Linked DNA regions of Drosophila melanogaster. The protein of the gene in region 2 interacts with the protein of the main gene of each other region in a pairwise test. Each region holds a gene or a part of one and is shown on either strand. Other genes may lie near its edges.

Region 1 (17,032 bases), on a different chromosome or scaffold from region 2:
GACGATCACTGAGCCAGTTCCTCTCAAAGGGCAACTCACGCCATTGGAAGGAGGTGTTGGAGGAGTTTACAGGCGAAACGGAAATGGACCCAGCCGCTCTGCTGGAGTACTTTGAACCGCTCTACCAGTGGCTTAAGCAGGAAAATAGCCGCTTGGGTGTGCCATTGGGCTGGGGACCAACAGACAGTGAGTAATTGAATTTAAACAGTAACTGCTAACTATAATTTACTGTATCCCTTTGCAGAAATCCCATCTGATTGCTGTGGAACGTTTAGCACCTAGACTGAGCCATCCCAAACTTGACTTGAGGTTATTAGAACCCGAAAACAAATATATTGGTTTAGTCTGTCATTAGGAACAAACAAAATAAACTTGATAAGAACGATAATTAATTCACAGCATATGCGCATTGATATTTAAATTGATATTTATTGTATCGATTCATTCGTATCGTTTCGTTTCGTTTTATTAATAAATTGCCATTACATAATACACTTTTTAACGATATCTCACCCACCAACTTTCGTCATAAACAAAATTGTATAAATTATAGCCTTTCGTGAATTGTGTTTCTATCTCAACCACAAAGTTGTATATGTTTCGGTCAGTGTAAATTTTCGATATCTTGCTTGCCTTTTTGTACACAGCAAAAGCGCTCAAAAGTTCATCTCAAATTTATTTGATGCTTCTAACCGTATGCTACTTTGAATAACTCGAATAAAATATGATCTTTAATGGAAGCTGTTGTTGTATACAACACAAAAAGTATAGAATACAATACACTATAAAAAATTATAGGTTACCAAACAGTTCTAAAGGTCTTGCTAAAACGGAAATCAAGTCATGACTTCTAAAATTTTCTGACCATCGAAAATGATAAGCTATTGCTTTCAAGAAAATGTATTTGTTAACTGGTTAACCTTACATTAAATCCTTATAGGTCATATTCCAGCCGAGATATTCAAAGCTTGATCAGTGATTACATTTTGCGACTTGTGCTGCAGTATATTTATGATTTCTGCTTGTATATCGATGCTTTTGTGATCTGGTTGGTATCAAATTTCCGCACATTTTGATTTGTAGTCTCTGTTGGAGGAGTGTGTATATGATAACGAAATAAAGAACAGTCAAATATGATCGTGTGGATTTTAATTCCAATCGTTTAACTTCATAGGGTGATTTAATTTTAGTAGATTATAAGGAATTTGTTTTGAGAAATAAAACAATCTAAGAACTAACAATAAATATTGGAAATTGTATCATTTTTGATTAGGTAATATATGTAAATCTGTTTTCATTTCGCAATCTCCCGCTTTATGCTTGTGATATGGGAGATACCGATGGTATCTACTGCATTTTCATCAATGTAACTGTTACTTGGTAAAAATTGTATATGTATTTAGAATATAAATATTATATGCAATGCGTTCCACATTTACAAGGCAGTTATCCATGATTGCGGAGTAAGATTTTTGAACAAATTGGAAAAATATACAACCGAAACTAGTTTAAAATGGTTTTCTGCTTCGCGGAACATGCAACTGACTTATAGATCTGAAACGCACTGCACAACTGCTCGGGGGATTTGCTCCAATACTTGAGCTTTACATATATATGCCTAGTTTTTTTTGTTGTTGTATTTTTAATGATAGGATTATTGGACTAACAGTAAGATCAGCTAGATTTTGCTTTTGAGATGCAGATACATGTTCGTAATATATAATTTTCCAATCGATACGCCATTACGAAACTAAGTCTTAACAGGGCTATAAAATCAATCCAGATATTCATATGTATAGGCCAAGAGTTTAGTTTTGGTTAGTGCTACATGAGTTGGAACAATTTGATTTAGTTTTTGTTGTTGGATAGTATGCATTCTAACAAAACATTTCAGAGTCAACGCAAATAATATAACTAGATCTATGAATTCGATGCGGAATTTCAAGCATTTTAGATTTATGTTTATACAATTTGAGTAATACATAGATGCATATAAGGATCTTATCCTTTACTACTTAGCGATTATTATTGAATACAAATTTTTTGTGTTTATTATTTAATATTAAACGTGAAAAGTGGTACGCTTACATTCAAAGACATTTTCATCGTTTTGCAAAAAACATTTATAAACCGTTCATATGTTTCGAGATTCAATATCAAGAACGAGGGACCATGGCAAGCTTTATGAGTTGATAGTTGAGTTGATAGAGTGAGTGTTGTGTGTGTGGGATCTTTCTGCACTTGAATTTGAATTGACTCTTGAAGAAATGTCGTCTAATTGACCCTTTCCGAAGTGTTGGCAGCGGCTGCTATGTAAATCTGCTTATGTTCTTGAACTTGGCTTAGTCCAAGAACGGGTTTTGTCATACAGGTCGCGAATGGTGGGTATGTTGGGGATGTTGGTGTGAATGTGGATGCGGCTGGGTGACACTGCTGATGCTGTGGTTACTGCTGCTGGTGCTCGCTCCGCCTCCACCACCGCCGCCCGCCTTTTGCCTTGTGGGTGGCGGCGGTGGCGGTGCCTGTCTCATGCGCTGCTGCAGGATGCGCGGCAACTGTGGATGCGCCTTGTGCTGAGCTGGTGGTGCGGGTGGTGGCGCTGGCCTCTGATGGTAGTGGTTAGCCGATTGCGACTGTTGCTGTTGTTGCTGCTGCACTTGTTGGTGCTTCCCCATCGAGGAGGCAGCGGATGAGGAGCCAGAGGCTCCTGATGTGGAGCTAGTTGAGGCGTGGGAAGTGGTCGAGCCAGTGGCCAGTTTTGTGGGCAGTCCTCCGCTGGCTGCCGGCGAGGCCATGGCCCTGGAATTCACAACTCCCGCACTCCCAGCTCCGGCAGTATCTGTCATCTTAGGCAAGGCTACTGGCGCATAGGAGCCATCGTCCTCTTCGTCGGAGCTCAAGGAATTCGCATCCGATGGAGTACGGGACCTCGAGGGCGGCGACAGTGCGTCCTGCTCTTGCAGGAACACACGGAATCCCTGTATCGACTCGTTTAGCGCCCACAGCTGGGACAGCAGCGACAGATCCAACTGCCTCAGACCGTACATCTCCCGTCGCAGAATGGCCAACTGGTTGTCGATGGTCGACGAGGTGGCTCCAGTGCTGCTCGAGCTGTTAGTGGGTGTGTGAACAGCCCCAGCGCTGTGGGTGCTGGAAGCGCGACTGTGCACAGATTCCCGATCACTGAGCGACTCCTGCGTGGACGAAAGACTACCGTGCCGCTGGCTGTGTCCGTGTCCATTGTAGCTACGATTTCGTGATGCCGCCGACGAGGAGGTGGAGGGGCCCAGGTATAGTTCTCCGGCGGCTACGGTCAGTGCGTTAACACTGGACGCCGGCGAGGCTGTGCGGGGATGGGGGCCAATGGCCACAGGAGCCGCCGTAGCGGCGCTCAGACTTTTTGGCAGTGGCGGCAGACCCGTCAAGTGCGGCTGGGCATCGTTGCTGCTGTTCTCCATCATTTGATAAAGCTTACTATGTCTCTACGGTTTCTTCTTACTGCTGATCCTGATCCTCACGGGTATTTAGTAACTAGAACTATAACGCGGGCTTCTTAATGCACGTTGAACTTCCAGCTCTGGCGGCACATGGGGCACTGTTTGTTCAACGGTTGCAGGTTCAGCCACTTGACGATGCAGTGCATGTGGAAGCAATGAGAGCATACACCCCACACCAGCGGGCAGTCGTCACCGGGCAGAGCGCACTCCGGGCAGGTGCTCTCGAAGGACATGCGACAGATACCGCAGTTCTCGTCATTCGCTATCCAACGCCAAGTTGCAACTCCCGTCCATGACTTGATTGTCACTTTCATTTTGCGCACATTTGTCTCACACGGCAATTGTCTGGTTTGTCGCCGCTTTGCGTTGCACGGAATACGGCTCCTTTGGCCAATGAAGCGGGTGTTTTTCGACCGTTTCCGAATGTTTTTTGCAAAATATTGCCTTTTTTCTTTAGTTAGGCTGCTGAAAATAGGTCGATAGGTCCGATTATCGATTGGCCGATTGGACTTAGAGATGGACGCTGTGTAGATGGAGTTAAGCCGTCGGACAAGCAGTGCGACTTGGGATGACCTGTTATAGTAAACGATATATTTTTATTTATTGTATATTAGTATAGTATTGATTATTGAATATTGTAACAAAGTACATTTGATGTGTTCTTAGTGATATTTATTGATCATAGACATGGGCATTTGTAAGCAGTTCATAGAGCTATCGATTTTATATATACATCTACCGTACTTTAAAAAGATATCGATCCTTGGCGGGAGTATTCAACTTTGGTTTGTTTATAAGAAATCATAGATAAAGTACTATTTGAAACAATCAGGTGAATTAAAAACCTTTCTGCTATAGTTAAAATAAGTCATTCCTTGTCGGATAAGTAATAGTTGAACAGTAGTATTTTCAATATCAAGGCCACGTTCTCGAAGCCGCTGGGCCATCAATTACAATTTTCGGCAATGACAGGTCGGAACCCAGGTCAGATCTTTAATCAGCAATGCGAGCGAATCGTGTCTGAAACAACTTCCGAAAGCTTATGCTCATGCTCCATCGGATTGGACGAGGCTTTAGGGGGGTGCTGCCTTGTGTTGTTTTGTTGTCGGGGGCTGATGGAGTTGTTGTCTCCGGTTTATTCGCATTCAGTTAGCCGACGATTGTTGAACCCGACAGACGTGCGCGCAGCTCGATCGATCGATCGTCGAGCTTTACCCGTTTTTCCCACTGTGTTTTTTCGACAATTTCGCGTGCAAAGCGTGATCATTATTGCTCAAAAATTGCTTTTGTGTTTTGTCCAAGTGTGACGCAGTTTTTAGCAAAGGTTCTGTGGAACTGCGAACGAGATCAGCATATAATAAAAAAAACCCTTGTGAGTGAAAAGAAAGTGCCTGCGAAACGGAGTTGATTTAGAGTTGTGTACTAATCGAAAGGTGCCGCTGCGAAGTGAACGATCTTGTGAGAGTGAAATTAAATCAAAACACAAAAAGTGAAGTTCAACAGCAGAGCGTTGTTTAAGAACCTGTAATTGAAAACGCACTTGAATACACACACCCATACAGGCAAGAATAATATTAAAAATAAGCCCAATAATGCGCCATACAACACGTTGTTGACCCTGAGCCAGAGCCTCGTGATTTTCCAAGAACAAGTAAACACCCCTCACAACCCACCTATACAAAAAAAAAAACCACTCGATGATAGCAATTATTTAGCATAAGAATTTATGTTGCAGTTTATTGAACTCTTTGTGCCGCCTGTTTCTGGAAAAAACCGTTTGCGCCTTGCAGGGAGATTCTGCTACTTGACTTGGTGTTCCGGTTTTTGGTCACGCCCGGGATTTTCTCGAATTCTGCGAATCACTTACATACAGTGTACCAATAAGGCATCCATAAAAAACATGATGTGTTTGTTTGTGAACATCAGTTTTCATTGCAATTGCAATGCGAAATTTCAAATCGATATTTGCGATTTATTTCACTTTGAATTGGCTTGCCTTGTCATGTGCCTCGTCCATAAAATGTGGCTAATAAACAAACAATTATGAAATGACGGATTTTTTAAACTCTTTAGCGCCTTAGATACGAGTCCAAATAAACAATTTGCAACCAGACAACACTTTGAAGCTGTGAATTTGGTTATGACTCATCGAATTATGGCTATTGGTGCTCGCATGCTTAATCCTAAACTAGATTGACTCATAATGTTAAAAAAAAGTGATTAATAACGTTAAGAGATAAACACTTTTGAAATACTAACTATGTTCAGAAACTACCAAGTTTATTTAGTCGACCCAACTGTTTCTGTTTATCATGCCTTTCGACACAAATTTGATTGATTGTATATATCCCCACGATTAGTTTTTGGTCGTTAACATTTCCGAACTCTTCCTTTCGTCATGTCATATCTAATCTAGAATCGTAGACAACCGAAAAATTGTTGTTATCGTGCTAAAGCCATACGCTTCAAAATTAAAGTTAGTCAAAAGACTTTCGAAATCGGGCGTTGCATTTGCCTTGCAAACGGTGTGGTGAGGACAAGCTGCATTATCGTCAGACGAAATAGAAATAAGTGCTATAATATAGCTTTAGTACCCGCGCTATATGGTCGTGAACAATCAAGTGATTACTGATAAAAATTGAAGCAAATGGGTTGACAAACAAAATACTTGTCAGGCAGATTTGGACGAGATAAGTGTGTATACATATGTATGTATATACGATTACTCGCAGTGTATTTTAAGGAAGCATCTTGGAGGATGAACGTGCTCTGAGTGAATGATTCAAGTAAAAATTACTTATGAGACACCTGTGACTCACACACCTGAGAAAACAGACAGTGATACAAAATCGCGGAACTGAAAAGATCACAATGGAATCGAGGATCGCCTACATAAATTGCATTCATTCATAAAAAAGTACGATTTAATCGTTCTAGCCGCAGCATTTAGAAGGGGAATGTAATGTCATGAGATTCTGAATTCTAGAGAAACAGATTCAGATTCACGTAGAGTATTTCCCGTTTACGCTGGAATTACTTTTATATTCAGGGTCTTTTCGATCCACTCAATTAATGGGCAAACAATTAAGGGAACCTTTGCTGTTAATTGCAGCTATTATCTCTGTGAATAAGAAACCAAAAAACATTTTGTTTTAGTGTATTAATTGATTACGGTAAACGTTGTGGAGCAACAAGGTGAAGTTTATTTCTCAATGGGAAATTTGTGGCACTATCTTAAAATCATTTTCATACTTATGCCTTAAAAGTATTTAAAAGATTTAATTTAAGATTTAATACCCTTTAACAATCCTTGATTTTGCATTATCAATTATTGATGTTTATTGAGCTGACTTATTTTTAAAATTTAATTCCGGTTTCATTCATTAAATAAAGGTGTGTTGAGAATAACTTCAGAACTTCCCTTTTTGAATTATCAGGTAGCTTAATGGAAAGTATATTTTGATTTCCAAGTGAATGTTATGAATAATCGATTTCTTGCTCGTTCATTTAAAAGTTATTAATGCTAACAAAATGGCTATTAAGGCAGCAAGTCCAGCCGACGACAGACACGAATCGAAAATATTTGTGCGGTCCATTACGCTTGAGTTTGAGTTACTAATTCATAAGATAAACAAAGATCAACGCGCGTGCTCCAAAAACTAAAAGATATAAAAAAAAACACTCGAGAATCGATCTGCAGTTGCGAAAACGACAGGGTGCGGAAAGTTTTCGGTTGCCAAGTGAAACTCGACGGCAATGCAGGTCCAACTCGATCGGAATACAAGTCAGTCTCTGATGTCTGATGCCTGTCAAAGCCTAAAAACTGAAACGAGGCCAATGCACGCCACTTGTCGTCTGGGGTTTTTAGTTTGCCATGAACCGATCGGAGCACTATATACATATATATATGTATATAACATACACATGTTCATAACCAAGTTGCAAGTCGGGCTGCGGTTAATGACACCTGGGTTCGATCTTTCTGGGCAGTTATAGAGACTGATTCCGAGATGCCCGTTGCGTGTGAATGATTTTATTTGACGGGTTATTGTAATTTACACTTCAGACTTAATCCAAAAATCAACAGCAAACAACCATCTGTTGATTTTCGAAGCCGGAAAATGCGTATCCAAAATGAGGGGAATTGAACCCAAGCATCGTAAATCAGATTGAGATATTAATACCCAAAAGGTGATAATAAAAGTTTCCAAAATTCTCACAAATACTTCTTAAAAACTTGTAAGAGCATTAGAAATGTTAAGTTACTCAGGAATTTTCTATACCCATATATGTTATCATTCATTATTTACTTAAATGTAGATACATATGTGCATTTTTAGCCTCGCAATATTTCGAACAATGCCAAGCTCAATTAAATGAAGTGGGAACTCGATTTGAATTTCTACTTAGCAAACACACGATAGAAATGGAATAATGAATAATATAATAGATCATGTTGATAAAAATACTCGTTTCTCTCCTGCAATGCAAAAAAAAAAACAGAGAAATAAGCCAACTTTTTTACGCTTTTAAACTTTTCGGTGATTTTCCAGTGAGAGATTCTAGATAATGTTCATTTCGTCGTTTATTATATTATATATGGGCGTGTACATATATATTTTTTACTGCCACAAAACTCGTTTGGTTGTCGTAAAATCTTTTATGTGGTTAAAGAGAGGGAAAGGGATGACCGACAGGCGTATTAAAAGTTAATTAAGTAAAGTGCATAAAGCGCAATCTTTCAAAAAGAAACCGCTGAGCTATAGCTCAATAGTTTAATCCAAAGCCTAGGAATGATTTCCATCTGAATTGTGGAAATGGGTTATGCATATGAATTTCAGTTTCGTTTTTATTGTAATTTTGTTTGAAAGAATTCACCGCATTGCATGCATCGCTCGAGTGACTCGCGAAATTATACATTGTAATCCGATTGTTATTGTTCGCATTTCAGTTTTGGTGCTGAATTTGTTTTTCACTCTGTGCGGAAGTATTCGATCGCAAATTTTTTACCTGTGGCATGCGATATTTTTCTGTCAAATTACCAAAACAATTCAATTTCGACCCAGTTCAAAGGTCAGGTTAAAAGAAAATTAAAGAACTACAAATCCACAAAATGCTGTTTGCTTTGTCAGGTTTGCTTAACGAGATATTAATCGCAAACTTTTCACAGCCCATTAAAAAGACAGAGACAACTTAAATGATTTTCGCTGAATGCTTTTAAATTGTTTACCCCAATTAATGACTCGGAAAAGGGTTGGTATATGGCAAGTGGAAGCTGACTAAGTGGCTAAGCTTTTATCCACAAATTATGATTTTTTCACTTTGCTTTAGCAAAAGTTGTTTGACTTGTTTCAAGGTAATTCACATTTATGTCAAGTTAATTTATAATTACAGTTAAGTTTTAATTTATAGAGATTTTAAGTAAGAACACTTTATGCAGAAACTAAAAATAGCATAAAAGTGAGTTCGAAAAAATTGAAGTTTTGAAATTGTAAGGCAGAACTAAATTGGTTATAATACACTTTCTAGTGAAAAAGTTGTCATAAAAAGAAAAATTTTATATGGAATCACTGTTGCTTCTGAAATCCCATTAGCTTACCTAATTCCAATATTTCTCCAACCCCCCTCGTGGTGTGTTGTATAACGCATAACGCCATTCGAGTTGGAATGAGTTTCACGCATAAAACGTGTAGACATCAACAAATTGCATTACACGGCTTAAAGTAACAGTGACAACGAAAAGGTAGCAACAAAATGAGTGCTATTCATTTCAGCGCAGCTGATTGACATTCAATTACCAATGGCCCCACCCCCAACCCCTTTCACGTCATCGTAGCAAGTTTAATGAGTGTTGAGCGCTTTTCAATTCAACTGTCGTCGAATGCTTCGAATGCTATGAATGCTACGAATATATCTACGGCTTTATCAAAAGACAAACAATTGATCGATTGTCGCAGCTGGGTCTCACATGATCATGATTCGCTGTGGTCTATGAACTCAGGAGAAGCTAACACACGAATGTTTAAATTTCTTCTTTTTTCGGTGTTAAACATATCTTTACAACCGGCAAACAATTGTCTTGGTTCTTGACACCTTAAAGTCAAATCAAATCGGGGAGTTAACTTATCTGCATTCAGAGATTAGGTTCGTAGAATGAACTTGGAGATAAACCAAAAAAGAGGTTTGAGCAACAAAACATTGTTAAGCTGGCGCAATGAAAGTAGTCATTTACGAATTAACTAGTAATAATAAACGCATTCGTCTGCACTTGATCACTTGGTCTCACGGCTCAGTTTGTTGAACTCTGTTTAGGGAGTTGTCCTTTATCAGCTCGTTTGAATTCAATTAGCAATCTTTTGATAAGAACTTACAAAACTGAATTAGTAATCTATTGATATGAGTTTACAAAACTGAATTTGCAATCTATTGATAAGATTGTAAGGAAGAGAAAACGCTGATAGCAAAGAGGCGAAGCTTGTGAGTAAAGGAGATTTTTCATCAGCCCAAAAGTATGCTTATTGGCGAACCTTGGGTGGATTCCACGCCTCCCACCACTCAACGCACTCACCTGTGCAGAGAATGTGGCCTCAATTTGCAGAAACGCTTATCGTTCAAAGCGTTAAGTAAACGCAGGCAGGCAAACACGAGTACATGTGTAGCGAGGTTATCTTCGTGTGTGCACGGTGCAAGTTTAAAAAGTTTCAATTACTCCACCAACACACGCCCACCACTCACACACACACACGCGACAGAAGTGCAAGGCTTGAGCAGGTGTCACAATACTGCAACAAGTTACAGTGGGACAAGAGTAGGCCACATTGAACTACATTAGTCCATGCTTATTATATATTTTCTATCATATTGTTTTCTTCATTTACATTATTAAAATTAACACTGTCTATAAACTGCGCGTTAAGCTCCTTGAATGTCTGCGAAATAATGCGAACGGAATTTAAGCTGAACGGTATAGAATGAGATAACGGTTGCTCATAAATTATAAAATATTCTTGCAATTTTAATCTGATAATGTTGTGGACGCGCCTCTCGCCACCTGACCCACGGTGCACAAGAGAGCGCGTAAAGAGAGAGTTGGCGCTGTTTAATGGGGAGAGCAAAAGAGCGCCTAAAATAGTTAAAAATTGTCGCAAAATCATCACTCTCTGGCAGTAATCTATCATGCGCGATCGATCAATGGCTCTCTAAAAATGTCTCTGCCCCAGCCCACCACCCCCTGCCATAGCTCCACTTCCAGAGAGATGAGTTCATAAAGTGGGTGAAAGAGAGCGTTCTCCAGTAGCTCCTCTCAAACGTACTCACTTTTATCACACACACGTACACTCAAAAAATGTCCATGGAAAAATTATTCTCAGTAAAAAATTATAAATTAAATATTTCTTTACATGATATTATTTAACAAATATTTAAACGAATCGAGACATATTAAAAAAATAGCCGGGAATTGGTTATGGTTTTACAAGGTAAACGTGTCGTATGAGCAATATTTTGGTGCAACGACGCTATTGAACTACGCTTCAATTCAAATAAATAAATTCGTTTTTCTAAAAACATAAAACAAAATATTTGAGTGTTTTGTTAAAAAATATTTTAATATATTCATAAGAACATATTGTTATTTTAAAATACGGTTTCGAAAATCAAAAACCAATTTCTTGAAATTCAGTAGCGTGTTTCCCTCAGTGTAGAGTGGAGAGCGGGTGGAGAGCGCCATCAGAGCGCGATTTGGGGCCACTTCATGTGCCGATAAAAGCTGTCTTCACACGCTCACCGCTCGCCACTGAAAAAAAATTTCTGGAACGAGTCACACGCACCGCACGTTCCTCCGCAGAAAGGCAATAAAAACAATAACAACATAACTCGTCCTCGTCGAACAAATCCGAATTTAATTTATTATTCCCAAACAGAAATCATAAATTAATCAAAGCATTGTTACAACACAACAACGATTTTCGGACTCGGATTCTCTTCATTTTTTATTCGAGCGGAGAGTAAATAAAGTCAAGAAAACAAGAGGAAGAGGAAGAGCGGTAGGGAGCCAACAACAAAATGTGCCGCTGCTGTCAAAAGTGAGTAAACGCTACGAATTTCCCCCTACCCCACCACGCTTGACAACTTGCTCCGCATTCGAGCCAACAATTCACCTGGCTAACACACATTCCGAATTGCCTTTTCTTTATCCATTTCCATTTGTAGCTGCTGGGAAGATTTCTACTGGAATTGCTTCGAGGAGCGTTTCTGCTACGACGAATCCATCGGTAAGTTTTTGAGCTTTTTTGATTTGGGCAGTTGACGGATACGGATACTCTGGTTACGGTTACCTGAAAATGAGTACGAGTACGAGTACTTCGGCTACTGCCACTCAAATACTCACTCTCTTCGCACGCCTCACACACACACACATACAAGAAACTAATAAGATCTTGAAACGCACAATGCTACGGCGATTTTTGCGCGATTTAACGTGTTTGGCATTTGAAATCGAGTACGAGTCGTAAAAGGAAAAAATAAAACACAAGCTGATAAATCAGTTTTATGGCACTTTTGCCAAACTTGCATATAGAGTATCTTAAAAAGTTGCGCTTAAGTAAGCTGCGACAAGTTTTGTTTACATAAATGCTTGCATGTATAGAAAGGCAAAATAGTTTTATTATTTTATATAAAAAAATGAATAATAATAAGTACTTAAAAGAATTTAACGATAGAATATTCCAGAGGTAGAGTTGGGCTTATAGCTTAGATCAAATTCGTTTCTGTAGAAGACTCACATTTTGTTTGAAAATGAAATTCAAGGAGAGAAGACTCGGAAGTTTCTGGAATAAATTTGTTTATAAGATTACGGTTTTTTCATTTACTAATTTCTGCTCTTTCTTTGCCTCTCAGCCAACTACAATCCCGAGGAGGACGAGGACTACTTGGCGTCCAGGAAAAATGGCCAGATCATTGGACGCATACAACCGACATCGGTGGATAATAATAATTCGCTGACGGTGCCCCAACCGATTTGCGATCAGCCGCAAATGAGGCAGGGCAACTCGAGCTTGGGCCTGAGCCTAATGAGGTACTAATAGATAGATCAAATCCCAATCCAGAGATCGCATTTCGCACTTTGTTTGGTTGGCTGGCGATTAGCGATTAATTGGCATGCTCGTGTTGGCTTACTGTTGGCCATATCAATTGACATTATAACCAATATCTGTTTTCTTTGTGGCCCTTTTAGCGCCAAGATCCACGAGGAGGACTATCGTCGGGAGACACAGATCAATGTGCCCAACCTGGGACCGGAGATACTGGCGGTTTTTGCCAATTCGCAAATCTTCCAGGACCATCAGCCCACCAAGCTGAACCGGATCAGCACCAAGACCTATCTGGCCGGAATCCATTCGCCGAATCGCGAAATGCCGACAACTCCGCGGCTCAGCGATCAGGATCGATTGCTGCGACGTCTGGAAGGTAATGATGGCCCCAGTGGTGCACACACCCCACTTTTGGGTGGTGCTGCTAATGGTAAAAGCAGCGGCAAGAGCACCCGCAGCAGCAGCATCGTATCCAGCGGTGTGCCCAAGGTCAAGTTCTATCTGAACTGAACATCGATGGGTTTTGGGGTTCAATGGGTACTAGCAGTATTTGTGCCAAAGATTGAGGAACTCTCGCAATGCGGATATAATCAATTGGAGAGTGACCAATATCGCCAAAATGTGACTTAATATTATTAACTAATTAGCTGTAAGTGTTGCTACACAATATTCGATAGAGACAGCAATGCCAGTGCGACTGGCATTTAGTATTATCTATACTCCTAAGTAGCCTAATTTAAGTTAGCTTAAACGTTTACCATTTAAGTCTTAATTGTTGGACCTTGTAATTGTTTAGTCCTAAGCGACAAAGAGCAAACAGTATGATTTTCATAAAGTTTTTAAACAAAATTTTCGCTTGGTTTTCACTTTTACGCTCCACATATTTTATATATATTTAGGTGCTATTTAAATTGACTGACTACTGACTTCATCTTTACGTAAAAGTTCTGATTAATACAACATCGTCGTGCCTTTAAATCGCGCCTACCATCATTTTAGCAAATTGTTTTGTGCACTTTGAACAATTGCTTTGTTTGTCAAGTTGGCATTACTCAACAGCTTTTACTAATTGCATGGGACTGGGATCGCTTAGTCAAACATATTCACATTCTAAGCGTTCAGTTTTTCGATAGATTTCTCAGAAGTGGTTGAAATGATTTCACTGAGAATCTACGAAAATCAAATAAAGTCTTGGCTTATTAAAAAGGGAATCTAAAAAATGCATAAGCAATATATGAACAAATTTCGAAGACGATATGAAAAGCAAATTTCACATTTGCTCAAACAATTATTACAAATTTTTGCAATCCAAATTTTTCCGCAGGCTTGACTCACAATCCATTAACCCCATTTGGCTTAAAAAAAAAAGAAATTCATTCATTCGAAGTTCGAACCTCCAAACGAGGAAGAGCGGAAAAGAACAAATCTGGATCCGAGTCCAAATTTAATTAACAATTTTATTTCTCAATGACGCAGACAGCACCTTAAGGTACTGGTTTCATCTGGAGTTATATATAAAAAAAAGAAACATATTTTGCGGCACGTCACACATTTGTTATCACAATTGGAAGCAGAGATAAAACCATTGGCAATTGGAGATGATTTAATGGGCTATTAGGCCTGCGCCACTGATTTATCGCAATATTCGCAAATGGTTAATCACAGCGACCGACTTATGCCACCAAGCCCATTCCATCAGCAAAACGAACCAAACGTAATTAGTCAAATATTCGATTTTCTTATCGAGACCATATAAAAGAGTGTTAACAGCAAATAAACACCCATGCAATATGAATATTTCTGCCCATTTATGTATTTTGTCAAAAATACACGTATAGGTAATTTTTTTTATAGATAAGAAACTCGAGCTGGTAATCAGTTTTTGCATGCTAACAATCGATTCCTCCTTAGCTGATAAAAATAAAGAAATCGTCAAATTTGTAGAACTTTAGAGCTGTCATTTCATTCTATAGAACACATTTAAAAACTCCAAGCAAAAATGATAACATATAGATATCATCTTCACTTGTTTTAGGTTAATTGAAAAATAATCAATACATCAGTATATCTATAGAAAATAAATTCCGTCTTCATATTATGCATGTTAAATATACAATTATATATTGATCTTTTCAATTAAAAATATTTAAACAGCAGGTGTTGTATGTATCGATATTTAACAAATCGCGTTTAATTGATTGTATGTTCGAATAATCTCAGGTTTCATTTCGAAATAAAACGAAACAATAACAGCGATCAGTAAACAATAAATAGCCCAGTTTCAGTTGTCAATTAAGTTTTATGCACGGTACTATTTTCATTTTTATTTATACTTGTAAATTATATTGTTATACATACGTGTGTATGAGATATCTTAATTACATTCACGTAGTCATCACGTTCTCTTGCTAATGTCGGATGACTTTTCCGATTCGCCAGTCAATGGCTCCTATACAGTTTATAGCTGTTTTGTTTTAAGTATTTCCACATCTACATCATATTATTTCGTCAGAACCCTATACCTTATACCTTATAAAGCTGACGTTTATTGTCGGGGGTCTTGACGATACTTAAATCATACGTCATATTGTATTGTTTAACACATTTTGCTTTCTCAAAACAAAATCTAAGTAGTTACCGATTAAGAATTATTAGGCAGTAAATTAAATGATTTCATAAGTATCTATACATATTTTTACATAACAGAATTAGTATAATCTTTAACTGCAGCTAAATTTTATCCTACTTTTAAGTTTCATTTCACAAATAAACTATCAAAGCGACTTTACTAAGTATGTACATATTTGAAAATGACTTGCCTTGAAAGCGCAATGTTGTTATCCAAATAAAGAAACAAAATTTTATTGCAATTATATACTAAAATATTGACTGAATCAGAATGAATACTATAAAAAATAATACTGATAAGGTACGACTCATTTGATGCTTAAATGCATCTTACCCAATTGCTTGGGTATTTGTTGTCAAATGAAATTAAATTTATAAATCTTAAGAGTACAGAAATATTAAGTCAAAAGAAGGCAAGACTAATAATCTATTAAATTTACTATAAAACTTAACTAGTAAGTTCCGCCTCTAAAATTTCCATTTTAGCCAAAGTCGAGGGCTAGTTATTATCTGCACATATCTTTCCTATCTGCCATGAACTCAACCGTTATCTTGTTTGCCAACCTTTTATGCGTCTTACAATGGCATCTACTTTTCCAACTCTTCCAAAGATAATATTGTCCTCTCTGGCAGCTGGCTAATTAGGGTACAATGAAATCAGGACAATATCTCTAAATAATATGGGTTTAGTTACTTGCAAATGCAGAACACTTTTTAAACGGAGTATATCTTCTTTTTGCAGGAGATGCCACTGATGCGAGAACAGGATCGACCGAGAAGCGAATCACCTTCACCCTGGCTCCCAGTTCGGCCGAATGCTCGCCGTCGGGTAGCCAAACGACACTTACTCCCAAAAAGTTCGAGGCCATTGCCGAGGAGGAGAAGGAGGACGACAAGGCCGATGAGGAGGAGGAGATCATGGAGGAGGTGGTGCTGCGACCTCGCCTCATCGACCGGCATCCTCATCTGCTGGCCAACCCCAGTGGACTGACGACCACGCCCAAACGGATCCTGCGATCCGCCAAGAGCGTTCCGCACATGAATGTCCGTTCGTCGGCCAGTGAGACGGATATATTCTCCATTAGCGGTACGATGACCGGAAGCAGTCAGATCAGCATGACGCCGGAGGTGCCATCGATATCGTTCAGTAATCTGCCTAAGAACTACGAGGACACGCCCACTATTGAGAAGTACCGGGTATCGCAGAGTCTCTATTCCATTCAAACGGCGAATGCTGCTCGGGCCACACAGGATGATTACTCCATGCCGCGCTACTTCCGTCGATCTGCCATGCTATTGACCCAGAGCTCTGAGGTGCTGCCCGGCGCCAGTTCACTGGCCTCCATGTCGCCATCGATGGCCTCGTCCTCTGCCTCGCCCGGGTCCTCCAAGGACGAACTGCGACGGCCAGAGAAGGAGAAGAGCAAACGACTCCAGATGCTGCGTGGCAATCTACCGCCCTTACTTATTCATTCCGTGTCCTTCAAACGAAATCGCGACGAGGGCAAGCAGGTTGACTAGTCGCACTGCAGATATACATATTTATTTGTTAATCACTTTGTCCATGTTTTTAATGTTTTAAATTTATTAGCCTTTAGTACCTGCTTATGCGTTTTCTGTATTATCTTCTAAGCAATGACCTTGTCCAAACAATTCCTCAGTATTCAGATGTACTTCATTTTGAATTAATGATTGATATTACAAAATAAATTGTATTTTACCACAAAAAACAGCGATTAAAGATCCTACTTAATAAATCTTTATAAAAATCTAAACGATATCTATTTGTACCATTTTAAAAGAAATAAATGCGAG
Region 2 (6,399 bases):
AAGCTAATGGCTATGGACGTAGTAACTCAAATGCAGACCGCCCTGCACAAGTGCGTCAACGCCCAGAGTCCGCCGGGCGCCAAGATGGCGGGAATCGAGTTGGACGCCTTGCGGCGTTGCGTACCGTCCTCGTGCTACTTCTTTATTGACCTGCATCCGCACCACGGCTTTAAGGATACCGCGGAGGATTGCCCTACTAGTCAAGCCTCCAGTGACCGGAATAACAACGCTGGCTGTTCGCAAGGATCGGCTGCCAAGAGCTCCTGGCAGCGGCAGCGTAGTATTTCCGAGTGCAGTGAGGACAGCTTCATTTGCTTTGAGGACGACGCAGAGCAGGCGGATGAGGATGTCGAGGAAGACGAGGATGATGATGACGACGACAGCAGCGTGCAGTTTACAGCATGCGGTGAGGATGAAAATACCGAGGAGCTAAAGGCCTGCCAGTGCAGCGACGACAGCTCGACTCCTGTCAAGAAGGTGAAGAATATTTTTGCGCGGCATAAGTGGGCATATCTAATTTCCTATTTATGCGCACAGGTTCGTTTCAACATGAAACCCGAAGTTCACGTAATGCTCGCCTGGGACTACGCTTATCGGGCTGCCAGAAAGAGCGAATGGCAGGTAATGGCGCGAGATCGGGATCGCTTTCAGCAGCGGATTCGGCGGATTTCACCCATTCTCAATGCCGTCCTGACTCCAGTTCACCGAGATCGTGTCTACCAAGCTCGATTCTTGCACGAGGACTAGCTGGTCCGCATACCTGAAGTAACTTTTGATGTACAGATTACAGTTTAGAACGATTACAGCATTAAATTCCAAGTTGTTTGCGTGTATAAAGTGATCGATTTAGCCACTGCGTTCGTGATTGATTTTATGAAGCCAAAAACTGTTTAACCTGTAAAGTATATCAAAACCACGTACACTTTTCTTCGCCTTTAGTTTTAGAGCCCTAAGAAGTTTGAATTTGTTGATAACGGGATTAGCATATACCTTAATATAACTTGAAATAAATTAAGCAATAGACGTATTTTACTGTGTGTTCTTCTTTTCACATAAGATTGCTTGCATTGTGTTCCAAATTCCCAAGCCAAACAAGTTTGGGTAAAGACTTTGTGTGTACGTGGGTGAGAGATAAGCTCTGAATAGAAACAGATAAGACGGCAGTTTGAAAAAATAGGTACGTTTAACATGGAGCAGTAAATTTCATAAATGTTATCGCGTTAATTCATTATTTATTTCATGATTCCTTCAGTCGTTTGCAACTTGGTTTTGGATCTCCGAAACTTATTTGGCCAATTGGTAAACTCCACCCGAGAATATTAGCTTGTGCTCCCTGACTTTTCGCTGGAGAAAGTGTTTCAGCTCATCCTGAGTAAACTCCACTCCGCCGCTGTGGGAGGCGAACAGCTTCAGCATCTGGTGGATTCGGTCAATTGGCATGGAGTCAAGATTCGTGAGCATTCCAACAATATAGGACCAAAAAACCTGCGGCATAATTGTATAAGAAAAAGCCGGAATTAGGAACAGTTGAAGGCACTTACTTGGAGTTCTTCTTCCCTTTGATCGCTGGCAGAAGCCATTGCGGATTCCAAATCCTCTTCGTCAGCTTCTGCCAGACTCATGTCCTCGTACTGAGACTTCTCCGATTCCTTTTCCAGCAGCGTGAATATTCCGGGTGTCGTTTCCGAGATCAATCCGTGGTTTTGCCAAAAACTCAGACGACGCCGCAGTGCAGACGCTGGAACTTTCGTAATGGAACTAAGATCCTCGATAGTCCATTCATCTGAAAAAAAAATATGACCATGCGGTTGTAAAACTGTAAAACTTGACTGCCCTGTAAACACGTACTCTTAGTTTGAAAGTGGTATATAATAACCGCCAAAATGGGGCTCACAACCATTTCCATGGTCCGGTCACCGATCTCGATTTCAATATTTACACGGCCAGTCACTGTACGCCAGTTGAGCGTACGGTTGCCCTTGTATGCCTCGTAGGCCTTGGTGTACTTCTTGAACTCATTCTCAATCTCCTCAGGAAGTTGGAGGCTTTCTTTATTGAAGGACGGCCAAAACTGAGCAGAAACAATCAGCGAGGAGATGTCGAACAACTGATCTAAAATGAGATGGTTTCGTTAAAGCATTTTGAAAATTAAAAGTAACTCACTTTCAGTTCGGTCGCCATCGCTGTGGATGTGCGCGTTAATTCGCTTGGAGTCGGTTACGTCTTTCAACATCACCTCGCAGCTGTGCAGCAGCGATTCGCCAAAGCGGATTTTCAGCAGTTCCAGATTTCGAATTTCTTTTTCGGAATTAAAATCTAACTGGGCCAGCAGTCTGTCCGCCATTAGATTGCGATACTCTGTCATAAACAACTCCTTACTGCCGTATATGTCTACAACCATCGATATAATGTCGGCCGATCTCATCTTCCGCGAGCTGTTGTACTGCATAATGCTGGCATCTATACCAAACGGATCGGGTTGCCAATTTTCCCAGTTGCTGAACTCATCGGTACCCGAGTCCTTGCATTCCTTAATTGTTTCTCCCTTGGCGAGTTCCTCGGATAAGTCCGTGGGCCCCTCTTCAGTCAACCCAGTGACTACGCGTCGCACTGTGTCGTTTCGTTTCCGCAGGTAATCTTTGATTGGAGCAGTTACCATCTCTAAGATGACTCCGGTACTATCCAGATGGCGAATAGCTTTGATGGCTGCCACGTAACCCGTTAATATGTCCATGGTGTTGACTCCAGGATGCAGAATCCTTGCCTCTAGCGAGTTCCTAAGGGATTCAGTGAGGTAGACTCGCATATCTATTTTCTCCATGCAAATCTTTAAGTCATCTATAGCCGGAATGGAATCGGGATAGTCTGTTTACAAATAAATACATGTAGTTGGGGGACTCTTGGCTGAATCTACGGGCACATACCAATTATAATGCTGAAGAACTGACCAATAACGCTTTGGGCAAACGTTTCGTACATAAAGTAAGTCAGTTTGACTTTGAAGGATTTTACAGACTCGGGAACTTCGATATCGCTTATGCTATCCTTAGACTTCCATTCCGTGAATATGTTTGTGAGCCAGGACATTATGACATCCGATAGCCACTGCAAAGGTAGGTAATAAATGAGTTACTTAAGTAGTTTATTTATGACAACAGAAGGTATTCCCATTCAACTTACAGTTTCCAGTTGCTTAAGATGACTTCTGTCGAAGATTCCCATGCATGTATCGCTGATGTGCTCCTTGATTTTAAGCTTGATGAGAGCGGTTAAAGCACTCCCAGTTAGACGGTCAATGAGGTTCATCTCGAAGAGCTTCATGTTTGTCTTGTTAACCATATCCGTCAGCCTTTGGCAGCAGCATTGCTCTGCTTCGAAGTTGCAGCCAACGCAGAGGAGCTCATCGAAAACATCAGAGTCTGAAGGGGAAAGCAAGTGAGCATGGGAACCACAGGAGTATGTATCGGATACATACCAACTGTGGTCAATGCGAGATTTGAGGCCTTGGTGAAGAGCTTAAAGTGCACCCAGTAGAAGGCCCCAACGACCACACTGAAATTGGGTGGCAGTTGAGCCAGCAAGCAGTCCCTTAAGCAGTTCTTAATGCCTTCCTCCTGCATGAGCTTCACCGTCTTTGCGGTGGGCTTTGTCTCAGCTCCAACTAGCTGGATCAGCCTGGGCTTCACCTGCATCAGGCTCTGAAAGCTGTCATGCAGCTCATTGATGGCGTCGATGAACTGGGTGAACAGTCCGTTCTTATCGGGCAGTGCTTCTATGGCCAGAGCTTGGTCGTTAATCCAGCCCTGCAATTTAGACGAGACCAAGCCGTCGTGGATGTGCTTCCAGAACTTGGGCACCAGGACATTCCGAATAGTCGACTGGATTTCCAGGTCCACAACCGCCGCGAAGGTGTCTATGCTGCCCAACACCATCAGGTGCTGGCGAACATTTTGGAATACATTCTCCTCAACCGGATCATTGGATACAGCGTTCTGTAAGAGTTTCTGAGTGCTAGCGCCAATCCCTATTACTGAACCGAAGGAATAAACCTACCGCTCCACCCAAAACCGGAAAGATTCTCAGTACATCCGCCCACAAAGCGTCAAAGTCGCACATCGCTTGTGTGTAATTATTTTAAACAGTGCAAAACATTGCTTGAAACTCTGAATCAAACGCCAATGGTGATGATAATGCTGTTATCGATAAGTCGATTCTATCAACCGAACCGATAGTCGATGAATCTTTGATTTATCAGAAATTATACATATATCTATTATTCATTCTTATAGGCCATTATTAATCATATTCCAAATTTCAAACTGGATCGAGTCCTGATCCTGATGAACTATCAGTTCCCCATCAATTAGCCCATAAATATAAATAACAGTTTTACTAAAATAAATTATATTAATAGATACGGGGAGCTTAGTAGCCAGAAAATAAGAAACAGCAAGAGTTTCAGAAATACAGATGTATGTCTTCACGTTCCGGCAAACACAAACAGTTAGAGCTAAAATTAAATTGCATACGACTTATTTACATACATACATACAAATTGAGATTTGAGAGCCGGCGCTGATCTTGCATAGGAATATAGTTAGATTGCGAATTTATTTAATTTTATTGTACTGTGTGCGTCACCCGACACACGCCCGTGTGGTAGCCAATATCGATTGGATGCGGATGCCAATGGCTAGCGACTTAAGGAGTAAGGAGTAACTATGAAACTATCGTATCTTCAAATGCGTCTGCTGATGCTTTTTCAAGTGGTCGCTCCGCACAAACCGGCGACAGCACTGCTGACAGGCGTAGGGCTTCTCCCCGGTGTGCGTTCGTATGTGTCGGTTGAGGTCGTCCTGCCGCTTGAACCGCTTCTCACACTGCCGGCAGTAGAAAGGCCGATCCTGAACGAACTGGGGCATCCCATACGTGCCGGGTCCGTCCGCCGGCGGTAGCTGAGAGAGGGTATTTACAATTTCTTCGGTCGGTTCGTATTTTACCTCGGGCTTCGCCTGGTTAAGGAAATCGGGCAACTGGCTCTGGTTGTGGCCATGGTTATCCATCTGGTGTTCAGGAGATACGATCTGGTACTTGTCGCTGTGCTCCGGCCGTTCCAGCTTAATCTTTATCGGCTTGTGGTGGATGTCGATAATGCTCACGGGCTGCTGGTGCTGGTTATGCTGCTGCTGCTGGTGGTGGTGCTTCATGCTCGGCTCCCCGCAACCAACCATGGCGGCCATGAAGTGGAAGCCCGAGTCCGACTCCGAATGAATCTGCTTCTTCGGGGGCTTGAGCCGGACTCCACCACTGCTGCTCGGTACTGTTCGCTTCGGGGTGCTGCCCTTTAGCTGGCGGTCGTGGGTAGCTAGGTGCTTGGTGAGGTGGTCGCTGCGGGAAAACTTCTTGGTGCACTGGATGCACTCGAAGGGCTTCTCGCCGGTGTGCGTCCGGAGGTGCCGGTTGAGCTCATCGGAGCGCGTGAATCCCTTGCCGCACTTGGGCTCGCTGCAGACGAAGGGCTTGATGCCCGTGTGCCAGGTGAGGTGGGACCGCAGGTGGGAGCTCTTGCCGTAGCTCTTTGTACAGTTGTCATACGGGCAGACGAACTTGCGCTTGGGATCGGAGGCGAGCGTCGTGGCCATTAGCTTCACACTGGGCATTATGCGGATCTTAGAGTTGCCGTTCCCGCCGTAGTGCGAGTCGTCCTCAGGCTCAGTCTCAACTCCGTGATGGGGCACATTCTCCACATTCGCCTCGTCGTGCTTGACGTCCTCGAAAATCGTCGAGGCCCGCAGTATCATATCGGACGCCTGCTCGTGTATGTTTGCGCCGCTCATCGTGGGAAACGCTGGTGGTGGTTTCATGGGTTCTATGGGCGTTGATGTCGTCAGCATTTGGGGTGTGGGCGTGTTTGGTATTACTTGTGACATTGTGCTTACGTTTGGGGCTCGCTAGCGCCCTATCCGGTATGTCTGGAATCGAGAGTGGAGGTACTTTACTGCCAGCTGCGCGCCTACCGCTCCCTAATTACCAAAATTGCGTTTATCCAAAACTACACTCCTGTACAGGAAACTGTGTTCAGTGGGCGTCGGCCTAGGATTTATCAGTTCTGTGGTCCCTTGTCACCATAGCCAGCTCGGAAAACGGTCTATAGTCGGTCCTGGCGTCCCGCACACATTTTCCAATTGTTTTCGGCTAGCGCGCTTGCATATTCCAGCGGATTTGCTTATTTTACTTTATTTTATTTATATACTGAAGTATATCCATTTAATTGCGATGAGAATTATCGACTAGTCGATAGGACCAAGAGATGCGACTGAATGCGTGTACGGAGATATCGGATTTCAATGTTGTATTTATTGATTGCTATTAGTTTAGCACAGTTAAATATCTAAAACT

The links.
Region 1: the proteins of mr (region 2) and lmgA interact in a two-hybrid assay, tested with the Drosophila melanogaster proteins (2 studies listed by BioGRID).

Annotation. Positions count from the first base shown.
Region 1 is NT_033779.5:8,524,499-8,541,530, forward strand, and holds lmgA (lemming A), read right to left. Parts: upstream 4,008-17,032; 5' UTR 3,812-4,007; coding exon 3,554-3,811; 3' UTR 3,462-3,553; coding exon of another isoform or gene 2,364-3,461; 3' UTR 501-2,363; downstream 1-500. Other genes in the region: Acer (Angiotensin-converting enzyme-related), read left to right, coding at 1-186, 245-282; lmgB (lemming B), read right to left, coding at 2,364-3,461; CG17834 (uncharacterized protein), read left to right, coding at 11,562-11,581, 11,709-11,770, 12,396-12,573, 12,733-12,965, 15,960-16,738.
Region 2 is NT_033778.4:23,970,226-23,976,624, reverse strand, and holds mr (morula), read right to left. Parts: upstream 4,195-6,399; 5' UTR 4,117-4,194; coding exon 4,054-4,116; intron 3,993-4,053; coding exon 3,476-3,992; intron 3,420-3,475; coding exon 3,181-3,419; intron 3,106-3,180; coding exon 2,925-3,105; intron 2,866-2,924; coding exon 2,164-2,865; intron 2,113-2,163; coding exon 1,849-2,112; intron 1,784-1,848; coding exon 1,542-1,783; intron 1,486-1,541; coding exon 1,285-1,485; 3' UTR 1,217-1,284; downstream 1-1,216. Other genes in the region: PPP1R15 (protein phosphatase 1 regulatory subunit 15), read left to right, coding at 1-477, 538-747; CG3065 (uncharacterized protein), read right to left, coding at 4,728-5,930.